Ovis aries: one gene and its partners. The protein of the gene in region 2 purifies or fractionates together with the protein of the main gene of each other region. This does not show direct contact. Links are inferred from orthologs where the notes say so. Each region holds a gene or a part of one and is shown on either strand. Other genes may lie near its edges.

What was found.
Region 1: the proteins of SNCA (region 2) and clusterin purify together in Homo sapiens (affinity purification with western blotting; 3 studies listed by BioGRID and IntAct, with this or other methods). This does not show direct contact. The link is inferred for Ovis aries from reciprocal best matches to the Homo sapiens genes SNCA and CLU.
Region 3: the proteins of SNCA (region 2) and SLC6A3 purify together in Homo sapiens (affinity purification with western blotting; 6 studies listed by BioGRID and IntAct, with this or other methods). This does not show direct contact. The link is inferred for Ovis aries from reciprocal best matches to the Homo sapiens genes SNCA and SLC6A3.

The regions. Positions count from the first base shown.
Region 1 is NC_056055.1:102,020,624-102,024,269, reverse strand, and holds part of clusterin, read left to right. Parts: intron 1-188; coding exon 189-597; intron 598-2,402; coding exon 2,403-2,504; intron 2,505-3,646.
Region 2 is NC_056059.1:35,535,270-35,539,672, forward strand, and holds the start of SNCA (alpha-synuclein), read left to right. Parts: upstream 1-1,518; coding exon 1,519-1,639; intron 1,640-4,403. UniProt on the Homo sapiens protein: Neuronal protein that plays several roles in synaptic activity such as regulation of synaptic vesicle trafficking and subsequent neurotransmitter release.
Region 3 is NC_056069.1:71,107,565-71,111,210, reverse strand, and holds part of SLC6A3 (sodium-dependent dopamine transporter), read right to left. Parts: intron 3,243-3,646; coding exon 3,111-3,242; intron 1-3,110. UniProt on the Homo sapiens protein: Mediates sodium- and chloride-dependent transport of dopamine. Also mediates sodium- and chloride-dependent transport of norepinephrine (also known as noradrenaline). Regulator of light-dependent retinal hyaloid vessel regression, downstream of OPN5 signaling.

The DNA of each region.
Region 1 (3,646 bases), on a different chromosome or scaffold from region 2:
TCCTCCCCGCTGGGGTCAGTAGAATGGAAGGGGGCTGGCCTGGATGTTTCAGAGATGGGGAGCCATGCCCAGCTGGGCCTTCCACCCTCGGCTGTGACTCTGAGATGTCCCAGATGCAGCTGGGGTGGGCCTGGCCCATCTTGACAAAAGGGGAAGCATCCCTGACTATCCCCCATCTCCTGCCACAGCTCGAGGAGTTCCTAAACCAGAGCTCCCCCTTCTACTTCTGGATCAACGGTGACCGCATCGATTCCCTGATGGAGAATGATCGGGAGCAGAGCCATGTGATGGATGTCATGGAGGACAGCTTCACCCGGGCGTCCAGCATCATGGACGAGCTCTTCCAGGACCGGTTCTTCCCCCGGAGGCCCCAGGACACTCAATACTACTCCCCCTTCAGCTCGTTCCCAAGGGGGTCACTCTTCTTCAATCCCAAGTCCCGCTTTGCCCGGAACGTGATGCCTTTCCCCTTGTTGGAACCCCTCAACTTCCACGATGTGTTTCAGCCCTTCTACGACATGATCCGCCAGGCCCAGCAGGCCATGGACGCCCACCTGCAGAGGACTCCCTACCACTTCCCCGTGACGGAATTTACAGGTGAGAAGGAGGGGGATGAAAACTCAGTTCTTTGAGATGCTTAACCTAGTCACACAGGCTGTGATGCTGACGAGACGTACGAATAGCTAAGGAGCTAAGGAAGTGTGGAGGGAGGGAGCCTTAGATGCTCAGATCTGTGCCCAGGACTTGGCCTGTATCGTCTGAATCCCCCAAAGAGCAACCTGGGGAGGGGGCTACCATCCCTGTTTGACAGGGAGTGTAGGAACATGCCCAAAGGTTCACAGACATCCCTGTTGGCTCAGCTGTAAAAAATCGGCCTGCAATGCAGGAGATGTAGGTTTGATCCCTGGTTTGGGAAATCCCCCGGGATGGTCAAATCTAGCCCTACAGGACTTGTAACTCTGGTATTCTTTTGAATTTTCCAGGCTCCTTCCAACAACTGGTGGGCATGACACTATTTCCTCTAGGGTAGGGATCCCCAGCCTCTGGGATTTAATGCCTGCTGATCTGAGGTGGAGCTGGTGTAATAGTAATAGGCATAAAATGCACGATAAATGTAATGCTCCTGAATCATCCTGAAACCATCCCCCACCCACCCCCTCCCTGGTCCATGGGAAAATTGTCTTCCACAAAACTGACCCCTTGAACCAAAAAGGTTGTGGACCACTGCCCTTGAGGGCTAGACCCCTTTGTCTTGGGAACTCAGGTGCTTTATATGGATGCCATGCATATATTGGCAATGAATTATATAATCAGCTCACTGTACAGTTAAGAAAGCTGTTTGTGGCTATAACCTTAGGGTCTGGTAGAGAATGGGCACATAGCGAGTATCTTTTGAATGAATGAACTCTAACATGGACACGAAAAGCCGAAACTTTTAGATGTGATTTCTTTCATTGAACCAATAGACTCTGGTTGGCCAACCCCATCGCCTAAATGCTACGGCTGGGCCAGCACTGGGTTCTGGCTTGTAATGGATTGGAAGTGCGGGAGGGTGCTGACTTAAACAGGTTTCCCTGGTGGCTCAGTGTTGAAGAACTCACCTGCCAATGCAGGAGACGTGGGCTCAACCCCTGAGTTGGGAAGATTCCTTGGAAAAAGAAGTGTCAACCTGCTCCAGTATTCTTGCTTGGAGAAGCCCATGGACTGAGGACCCTGGCAGGCTACAGCCCATGGGGTCGCAAAAGAATCTGACACAGCTTAGCAGCTAAACAACAAATTGACCTGAACAAGCATTTCCTGCATATCCATAAGGTTGAGAGGGGTGGGGTGGTGGTGAAGTGAAGTGAAGTCGCTCAGTCGTGTCCGACTCTTTGTGACCCTATGGACTGTAGCCCACCAGGCTTCTCCATCCATGGGATTCTCCAGGCAAGAATACTGGAGTGGGTTGCCATTTCCTTCTCCAGGGGATCTTCCCAACCCAGGCCCTGTGTTATAAGGAGGTTCCAAGGTAAATCTTACTCCTGCCTTCAAGGAGCTTGCTGCCTGGCCAGGGGGAGAGAAACAAGACAAGACAGAATGCAGAGCAAAACGGGTTATGATACCAAAGAGAAGTACACACAGCTAAGGGAGTGTGGAGGTGGGAGAGGTGTCAGCCGGTGAAGGAGATGAGAGGGTGGCCATGCCCAGCTCAGGGGGGCCCGGGAGCCACCTCCTGGTCCCACTGCAGGGAGTCTCGCTGCTGGTCCGAGCCTGGAAGACCAGCGGTCTTCAGGCAGACAGCCAGATGCTAACCTGCTCTGCCCGCAGAATCATCTCAAAGGGCCTGACAGTGGTGTGGAAGGGCCCAGAGAGATGGGGGCAGCCCATGTTGCTCTGTGTGACTTGTCCCCGTGTGTTCCCAGAAAACAACGACCGCACTGTGTGTAAGGAGATCCGCCACAACTCCACGGGATGCCTGCGGATGAAGGACCAGTGTGAGAAGTGCCAGGAGATCCTGGAAGTGGGTGAGTCAGGGGCCCCCTGGTCTCCTGTGTCTTCAGGTCCCCAGCACCTCACTGGGGTTGCCTTGAGGGGCTCAGGTGGGTGGGAGTTTAATGCCAGCTCTGCTGCCTTCCAGCTGTGGCTTTTAGGTGAGGGGGACTGTCCTTTGCTCGGCTCTGCCTGGATCCCCATCTGGGGTTGAGGGTTAAGATGCAGAGTTGTCCCTGAGGTCAGGAGACAGAATACTTATCACATCAGCTCATGGTTAACAGGCTGACTGTGGGAGCGGTGGCTGTGCTTTCTACAAAGCTGTCATCCTGTGACTTCCTCCAGTTAGTCTATTCCCAGGGGTCAAACCTAGTATACGTCTTCTTTTTTGGCTGCAGACGAAAATTTAGAAAGTATGTTGTTGTTGTTCTGTTGTTTTGTCGCTAAGTTGTTTCTGACTCTTTGCAACCCATGGACTGTAGCCCACCAGGCTCCTCTGACCATGGGATTTCCAAGGCAAGAATACTGGAGTGGGTTGCCATTTCCTACTTCAAGGGATCTTCCCAACCCAGGGATTGAACTCAAGTCTCCTGTATGGACAGGCAGATTCTTTACCACTGAGACATCGAGGAAGTGCTTCAACAGCACGGAGACTATTAAACTCTTGCCGTGTGTTTGTTACTAAATACCCTTCTTCTCAACACTTACAAACATTTACTCTTCTCCCTAGAATAACGGGTGGCTGCTTTTCTTACAGAGGAGGAGACTGAGTTAGAGGTTTGATGACCTGCCAAGATTACTGGATGCCCCTCCTGAGGGGATGTTTGGGAGGTGTTCCCCACCAGGGCTGCTGTGTTCTCTGCCCTGAACATATGGTCTCTCCTTGGGGTACCTTCGCTTTCTGGCCACCTTCCCTGTGGTTGGTTGGTCCCTGAGTTAGAGGAAATAGCTCTTTTCCGCTGTTGCTTTCTGTTTTACCAAGGGGACTGAATTCTTTCTATTTGGAGGTCAACAGCTATAAAAGCAGTTGACACACAAAACTTCCTGGCTCACAAAAGTCTATGCCTGGAAGGAAGGAGTTAATTATTTCCCTGTACTGAGTGAATCGATCCCGGTTGGTGTGTCGGGGTTGTGGGGGGGAGGTGGTAATGATGTTTGCTTTGCATTTAATTCTTTT
Region 2 (4,403 bases):
TTAGAGCGGACCCAGGGACCGAGCCGCGCCTGCAGCATCCTTGGCGCTCTTCCCCGCTCCCCTCACCCCCCAACCCTTCCCTTCCGACCTTCTGCCTTCTTCTCTCGAATCCTCTCGTGCGGGGGACGAGGAGTGGCAATTCGACGGCAGGTTTGTGGGTTTGCGTCCCACGCTCCCCGCCTCCCAGCGCAGGCTTGTGCTGACAGCCGCCTCCTCTGGGAACCATCCCTCTTCTGGTGCCGCCTCCACCCTTCCTGTGCGCTCTTTATCCTCTCTCTTCCCACTTAAATAACATTTGGGAATTGTTTTTTAAATTTTTTAAGTGGGGGTGGGGGAGAAATTGGAGTTCGTGGAGCCGAGGAAATCTGGTAAGTGCTTGTGGAACTAACTGGGCAGCTTTGGAAGTCGTGGAGAACACCTGGTGGGAGAAGAGTCGTTGCGGGCGCCCCGGGGCGCGCGGGGGTGGGGTGGGCGTGCTGCCGCGAGGACCAGCTGTAGTCGAGCCTCTCTCAGAGGTGAGTGCTTATCCCTAGGGTGAGCGTGAGGAAAGGCAACTGACCTGTTTGCCTCCTGCTTCGACTGCTTCCCTCTTCTCGTCCTCAGAGGCCGAGAGGTCTGGATTCTCAGGGATAAGCTTCTCCTTTGGGAAACGCGAGGATGCTCCAGGGAGTATGAGTATTCAACTTTTGTTTGTCGCTTTCCTTAACCGCCCCCCGCCTCTAGTCCGCCCTCTCTGTTCTCTCTGTGAAGTAAACAAGCTATGTTTGGCAAATCGTTAAGTGGGAGCGCTGAGAGGGCGAGTCAACAGGTGATAAGGGGTTAACAGGTGCGGCGCAGGGTAGGGGGCGGGTTCCAGGCGCTGAGAACGCCCCCACGGGTGGCTGGCGCGCCTCCTGAGGCTTCCGTGGTTGTGAACTCGCGCCCTCCTGCACGCTCTGGGTTGATAGCCCAGGGTCGGGTGCATGGTTGGGTGAATTAGAGCGAGGGCGGTGGGCTCGCAGTTGGCCTGAGGTTCAGCCACACCCAGAGTGAGTGGTTCCTTCCCTCCCCTATTCGTGATTGATCTGTTAGCTGCCTTTTGGAATGTAAGCGTGTCCCTGACCCCCTGCCTTCAGGTCCCTTTCCTTTTCCTGTGATGTCTTCTAAACGCACTTCTAACTTATACTGTCACCATTTGGACCCTGGGAAGTTAAAAGAGGAGTCTATCTTTCCGTGCAATTCCACTTCGGAAACGCGTAAGAACAGCTCATATGATTCATCCTAATCCATGTTTAGGCGGCTAGACTTTATCCAGCCAAGATGGATGGGAGATGCTAAATTTTTAATGCAAAAGCTAAGAAAAGCCTCCTTTGTCCAGTGGTTGAAATGGAGGTACACTTAAGAGAATCTCACTCTTTTGAGGATTCTACTGATCTTTCAATAGTTTTTACTTTGGGTGGTTCTAATTTTGTTTTTTACGCAGAAGTTCTTAAAGTGTATTTTGTCTTCTCCAGTGTGGTGTAAAGGAATTCGTTAGCCATGGATGTTTTCATGAAAGGACTTTCAAAGGCCAAGGAAGGAGTCGTGGCTGCTGCTGAAAAAACCAAGCAGGGTGTGGCAGAAGCAGCAGGAAAGACAAAAGAGGGTGTTCTCTATGTAGGTAGGTAAGCCCTAAATGTCACTTTGATATTTATTTGGGATTGATGGGTTAGGATGATTGATGCTTTAAATGCTGGTATTTCTCACCACTCCTCAAAGTGATGGGCTGAATCAGAGGTGTGTGTAAGTAGGTGAATGTGTGTGTTTGAGCTAATATACAAAGTGGGGCTATTTTGTTTTTCCAGACTATTTAATTTTGCAGTAATATTTAGGACTTTCTTTTTTTAAATGAATGTTTCTATGCATAAGTAACTATAGCTCTGAGGACACTTTTAAAAACTCAGTCTCAGAAAATATTCAATAGTATCTTAAAATCAAACTCCTCCATGAGCTTTTGATTTATCTTCATGAATAATATATGCTAACTTCAGTGTATTCTAATTTAAAAGTAAGACGTTGATATAATCTTGAGATATGTAAAGAGAGACCTACTGTGACTCTAAAAAGAAAAGGACAGACAAGTCTTTGGAGTTACTTCTTGTGACCACTTGGTAAGTTGGGGACTAAGCTCAAGAAAGTGCTTGAAGGCTGCTAATATCTCTGAGACATTTATATAGTTCATTTATCAAATGATACAATAAATTAGATGCTTACTGTTTTTCCTTGTTTATAAATTCCCACATCAGAGTATTCTTGCAGTGAAGTGAAAGTTGCTCCATCCTGTCTAATACTTTGTGATCCCATGGACTGTCCATGGAGATTCTCCAGGTTAGAATACTGGAGTGGATAACATTTTCCTTCTCCAGGGGATCTTCCCAACCTAGGGATTGAACCCAGATCTCCCCAGGGATTGAACCCAGGTCTCCCACATTTCAACTGGATTCTTTACCCGCTGAGCCACAAGGGAAGCCCAAAAATGCTTGAGTGGGTAGCCTATCCCTTTTCCAGAGGCTCTTCCTGACCCAGGAATCAAACCAGGGTCTCCTGCGTTGCAGGCAGATTCTTTACCAACTGAGCTATCAGGGAAGCCCTACTCTTTTTTTTTAATCTTGAACTGTGTTAGGTTGGGTGTTGTTTTACAAGTCACCTGGAATTCTTTGGGTGAAGAAATAGGCATACACATAGACACACACTCATCTATAGGGATACAAACGGGCACATGAGCATACACTCACACACTGCCCATTCTCTTTTCTCCTCTGAGCTTTTCCTCCTTTTCCTCACATTCTCTGGTAGCAGGTGTAGCACCAGTAGCCAAAGGATGAGTAATAAAGTGGAGGATGAGCATAATGGATTGTGTAGAATACTCTGTCTATGTCTGTGGGGTGAAGGAAAGCTATATCGTCTCTTCAATAGAGATGGACTGGAGAAAAGTTATACTTGGAATGATTTTTATGAATATTTCTCATATTTTTTCTCACTGTTCATAGACTTTTTATTTTGGTTCAATCTTACCACAAACCTCTAGTTAAATTACTCTTTATCTTAAAATGTATTTTCAGAAAATCATTGAATTGAAAGATCTTACAAGAGGGAAAAGTCAATGAGTTAAACTCAGTTTTTTTCTTGTGAAATGTGGATTGTATCTTTTTAGGTGGAATTTGGAATACTGAATCAGTGACATTTAGATAATCAGTATTTTTATATTTGTCCTCAGTGTTCCAAGTTGTACAAGTGCATGCTTTGTAACCATTCCTTGATTTCAGTTACTTTATAGCTTAGTTACTTTTAAGATATTTTTAGTTGGATAATATTGATTTATTAGTTTTGAATGAGTCCAAGAACCACTGACTATTAAATTAACATGGTGCTGTTTTCCAGGTAATAAGCAGGATTATCATCTGGAAAACATTGTACTTGTTTTCATTTTCACCCATGAGTTTGGGCAAATAAAATAACAATTTTTTAGAGATTAATTCTGTTGTTTTCTCTGAGATTATTATATGAAATTTCAATTTGTTTATGTATACATATTTTAAAAAATAATCTTCAGTGTTCATTATGGTATTTAACAGAGTGCATTCTATATACTATTTATCAGTTGATATTTTAAAGTCAATTAAAAGTTGAACACAAATACATAATTCAGGATGAAGTATGACCTTGTGAAGTTATAGTACTACCAGGTTTTGGCAAGCTTTTTCCCTAAAGGGGTAGTGAATAATTTTAGGGTATGATGTCTGTTTCAGCTGATCAGCTTTGCTCTCCTGAAGTGAAAGCAGCCATAAACAATAATTAGGGTGACTATGTTCCTATAAAACTTTACTTACCAAAACAGCTGGAGAGTTTATTTGGCTCATAAGCTATAGTTTACTGACTCCTGATAAAGTAGGAAAAAAATGTAGATTTGATGTCAAACTTGAATTCCAGTCCAGACTACAGCACTTTTTAACCTCTAGGATAATGGAAAGGTACTTAACATATCTAAGCATCACTTTACTCATTTGTAAAAATACAGTTTGAATACATGCAAGTACCCTGTAGAGTTCTTGTGAGAACATCATAATAAAGCCGAACCTATAAGTAAAAAGGCATACTTTTAAAAAATTAAAGACTTAATTTTTATGTTTTAAATTAACAGAAAAATTGATATATAGAGGTTTCCCATGTACCCCAAACCCCACACATGCATAACCTCTCAAATTACCAACATCCTTTACCAGATGGTACATTCATTACAACTGCTGAACCTACATTGACACATCATGATCATCCGAACTCCATAGCTTCCATTAAGGATCACTCTTGCTGCAATACATTCTGTGAGTTTGGATGAATGTGGAATGGCAATCCACTCCAGTATTCTTGCCTGGAGAATCCCGTGG
Region 3 (3,646 bases), on a different chromosome or scaffold from region 2:
TGACCACCCAGAATCTCCCGGGGTCGTGCTTGACCACGCAGAGCCCCCTGGGCCTGTCAGAGTGCCCTGGGCAGGGTCACAAGACCTGGAATTTGGGAGAGTCGCTGAGGGGCTCCTGACCGCTGGAGCAGAACGGAGGGGCGAGCAGTCTTTGGAGCCATGTCATCCTGACCGTGGTGGACGGCTGGTCTGCGGTAAGACCTCTGTCCTGTTCGGTGCTGGACAAGCACTGCTGCGTCCCGCTACTGTGGTTCAGCTTACCCAGCTCCACACAGACTTCTCTCATTTCCACATTCTTTCCCGGCTTTGCTGCTGGGACTGGCTTGGGCATCAGTATCCTGGAACCTCGTAGGCACGGCCCGGTCCTGCCTGCCTGTGGCCAGGAGGAGCTTATCTTCACAGTGACTTTTGCAGGGAGCGCGTTGGCTTGTTTTCTGTGGGTCTAACCCTCCTTGTTTGTTGTTGTTCAATTATTAAGTCATGTCTGACTCTCTGAGACCCCATGGTTGAGCACGCCAGGCTCCTCTGTCCTTCACCATCTCCCAGAGTTTGCTCAGGTTCATGTCCGCTGAGTCGGTGATGCCATCCAACCATCTCTGCTGCACCCTTCTCCTCCTGCCTTCAATCTTTCCCAGCATCAGGGTCTTTTCCAATGAGTACATTCTTCGCATCAGGTGGCCAAAGTACCGGAGCTTCAGCTTTAGCATCAGTCCTTCCAATGAACGTTCAGGACGGATTTCCTTTAGGATGGACTGGTTTGATCTCCTTCCTGTCCAAGGGGCTCTCAAGCATCAATTCTTTGGTGCTCAGCCTTCTTTATGGTCCAATTCTCACATCCGTACACGAATAGAAAAGCCATAGGTTTGACTATAGGGACTTTTTCGGCAAAGTGATGTCTTTGCTTTTCAATACGCTGTCTTGGTTTGTCATAGCTTTTCTGACCCTTAGGAGAAGCTATTTTCCTGCTCAGGACACTTCATTAAAACTCTCTTCCTACCCTGAAAGCAGAAAGAGTGACTCCAGTTTGCTTATGGGCAGACATTAAACAGATCCAGTACCAGGAGTGATTCCCCCGGTGCCTCAGTGGTAAAGAATCTGCCTGCAATGCAGGAGCGACAGGAGATCTGGGTTCAGACCCTGGGTCAGGAAGATCCCTGGAGAAGGAAACGGAGACCCACTCCAGTGTTCTTGAGTGGCAAGTCCCACGGACAGGGGAGCCTGGCGGGCTATATACAGTCCATGGGGTCACAAAGAGTCAGACACGACTGGAGTGACTCGTACACAGCACAGACAGGCCCTGGTGCACGGTCCCTCTCGGGAGACATGCTCAGTAGCAGCGATGACAAGATCTATGCTGTCCCTACCAAAGCCCTCCTCTGGGGTGGACCCCGTCCTTGGGGAATAATTTCTCACTGCACTTCTGTCCCCTGTGCTCCCCGGGAGAAGCTGGCTCACAGTGGACTCGCCTGGCAGCCTCAGAATCAGGAAGCCACGCGGCTTCCGAGCACCTCTCAGAAGCTTCCTGGCCATGAGCTAGCTGTCGGTGGCTGCTGAAAATCTCCAGAAGGTGACGACTCTGTTCACCAAACCCTCCGCTTGTGGCCTGGGGGACTCGGAGCTGCCTTTGGCCAAACGCCAGAGCAGATCCAGCCCCGTGTCCCAGGGAGAGTGGCCTGAGCCTCTGGTCCTTCTGCCCCAGGGCTGCGTGCACAGCCAACCCCCGGGACGGCCAGGTTGCTCACGGTCACAGCAGAGTGATGAGGGCACCTGGGGCTGACGCGGCTCCCCGGGGACGTGCGCTTTGCCCCTCAGCAGCAGCACAGCTGCCCGGAGGCAGAAGGGCGGCAGACATGGAAACAGAAGATGGATCGGTAGACGCGCTAAGTCAGATAAGCGGGCGGATGATAGACAGCTGATACGTGACAGATGGACAAGGCAGACCCACGGAGAGCGATGGCCGGGCGCACAGGTGGGAGGCAGAGGGCGCTGCAGGTTGGACTGTGGCCTCCAACGTGGAAGAGTTTTGTAACCCCCAGTACTTCAGAATGTGATCTTACTGAAGGCAGGGTCTTCACAGAGGAAAATCAAGTCAGGGTGGGCCCTAGTTCACTGCGAATGATGTCCCCATAAACAGGGAAGCCTGGGCGAAGAGACACCCGTGAAGACGCAGGGAGAAGACGGCCCCCGAGACCCCAGGAGCGAGGCTGGGAGCAGGCCCGGCCCCCTCTCCCCAGCCGCAGAAGGAACCAACCAGCACCCTTGAGTTCAGACCTTGGAGCTTCGACACAACAAACGTCTGTCATTTAAGCCACTTGGCTTGCGGCGCTCTGTATGGCAGCCCCAGCAAACCAGCGCAGATGACAGACAGTCGATCACAGAACTGCAGACAGGAGGCTGTGTTACCGTTTCTACCGTGTTAGCACTTTGACAAAACACCACCGCCCAGGAACTGCAGGCTGGCTTCGCCTGGGAGCAAGGACACACGCTCGCAAACCCTCGGTCATTAAAAGGATGTGTCCAAGTGCCTAGACACCCAGCAAAGCAGCACAGAATACACACAGCTGTGGCTGACCGGCTATGCGATCACCCAAGCCGGGCCCCGGCCGCGCCCCGCCCCCCCGTCCCTGGCCCACGCCCCTGCCCCCCGCCCCCGGCCCACGCCAGCCCACCGCGCACCCTGGCCCACACTCTGCCAGGCACGTGGGGCGTCCCCGCCGTGCCCCGCCATGCCCCGCCGTGCCCCCAGCCACGCCCCTGCCCCATATCCCGCCCCGGCCCCGCCCCCTCCCTGGCCCACGCCCAGCTGCGCCCTGGCCACGCCCAGCCGCGCCCTGGCCACGCCCCTGCCCCATATCCCGCCCCGCCCCGCCCCCCCCGTCCCTGGCCCACGCCCAGCCGCGCCCCGGCCACGCCCCTGCCCCATATCCGGCCCCGCCCCCCGTCCCTGGCCCACGCCCGGCCCCGCCCCGGCCCCGCCCAGCCGCGCCCTGGCCACGCCCCTGCCCCATATCCCGCCCCGGCCCCGCCCCCAGTCCCTGGCCCACGCCCCCGCCCCCCGCCCCCGGCCCACGCCAGGCCACCGCGCACCCTGGCCCGCACTCCGCCGTTACCTCTCAGGATGGGGCAGATCTTCCAGACGCCCGCCGCCCCCTCTCTGTTGAACTGCCCGAGGGCCAGCTCCATGAAGAACAGCGGCACGCCGGCGACGACCATGAAGAAGAGGTAGGGCACCAGGAAGGCACCTGGGGACGCGACAGCGCGCTCAGCCTGGACCGAGGACGCGCCAGCCCGGTGCCACCCCAGCAGGTGCGCCGCCGTCCACGCGCGTCCCGGGCACGACCGCTGTCAGCCTTCTTCGAAGCTCCCTGCAGGCTGGGCCTCCTGCATCTGTGCCTGGCTCCCGCTGTCACCGCACCCTGACACATCCCTCTGGGGACCGCCGCCCCCAGGCACGCGCAGCAACCGAGAGCAGAGCGGGCCAGCTGGGCCCGGGGCAGCTCTGCTCCTCACTGCTCTCTGCTCTCCACCTGCCCAGCCCTGGGTCCCCTCTCCTCAGTGGGGATGTCTGTCCTCGTGAGCCGTGGACCCTTGGGGTCCAACGCAGCCTGGCCCCCAGGACACCAGCCTGCCTCCGTCAGGGCTGTGG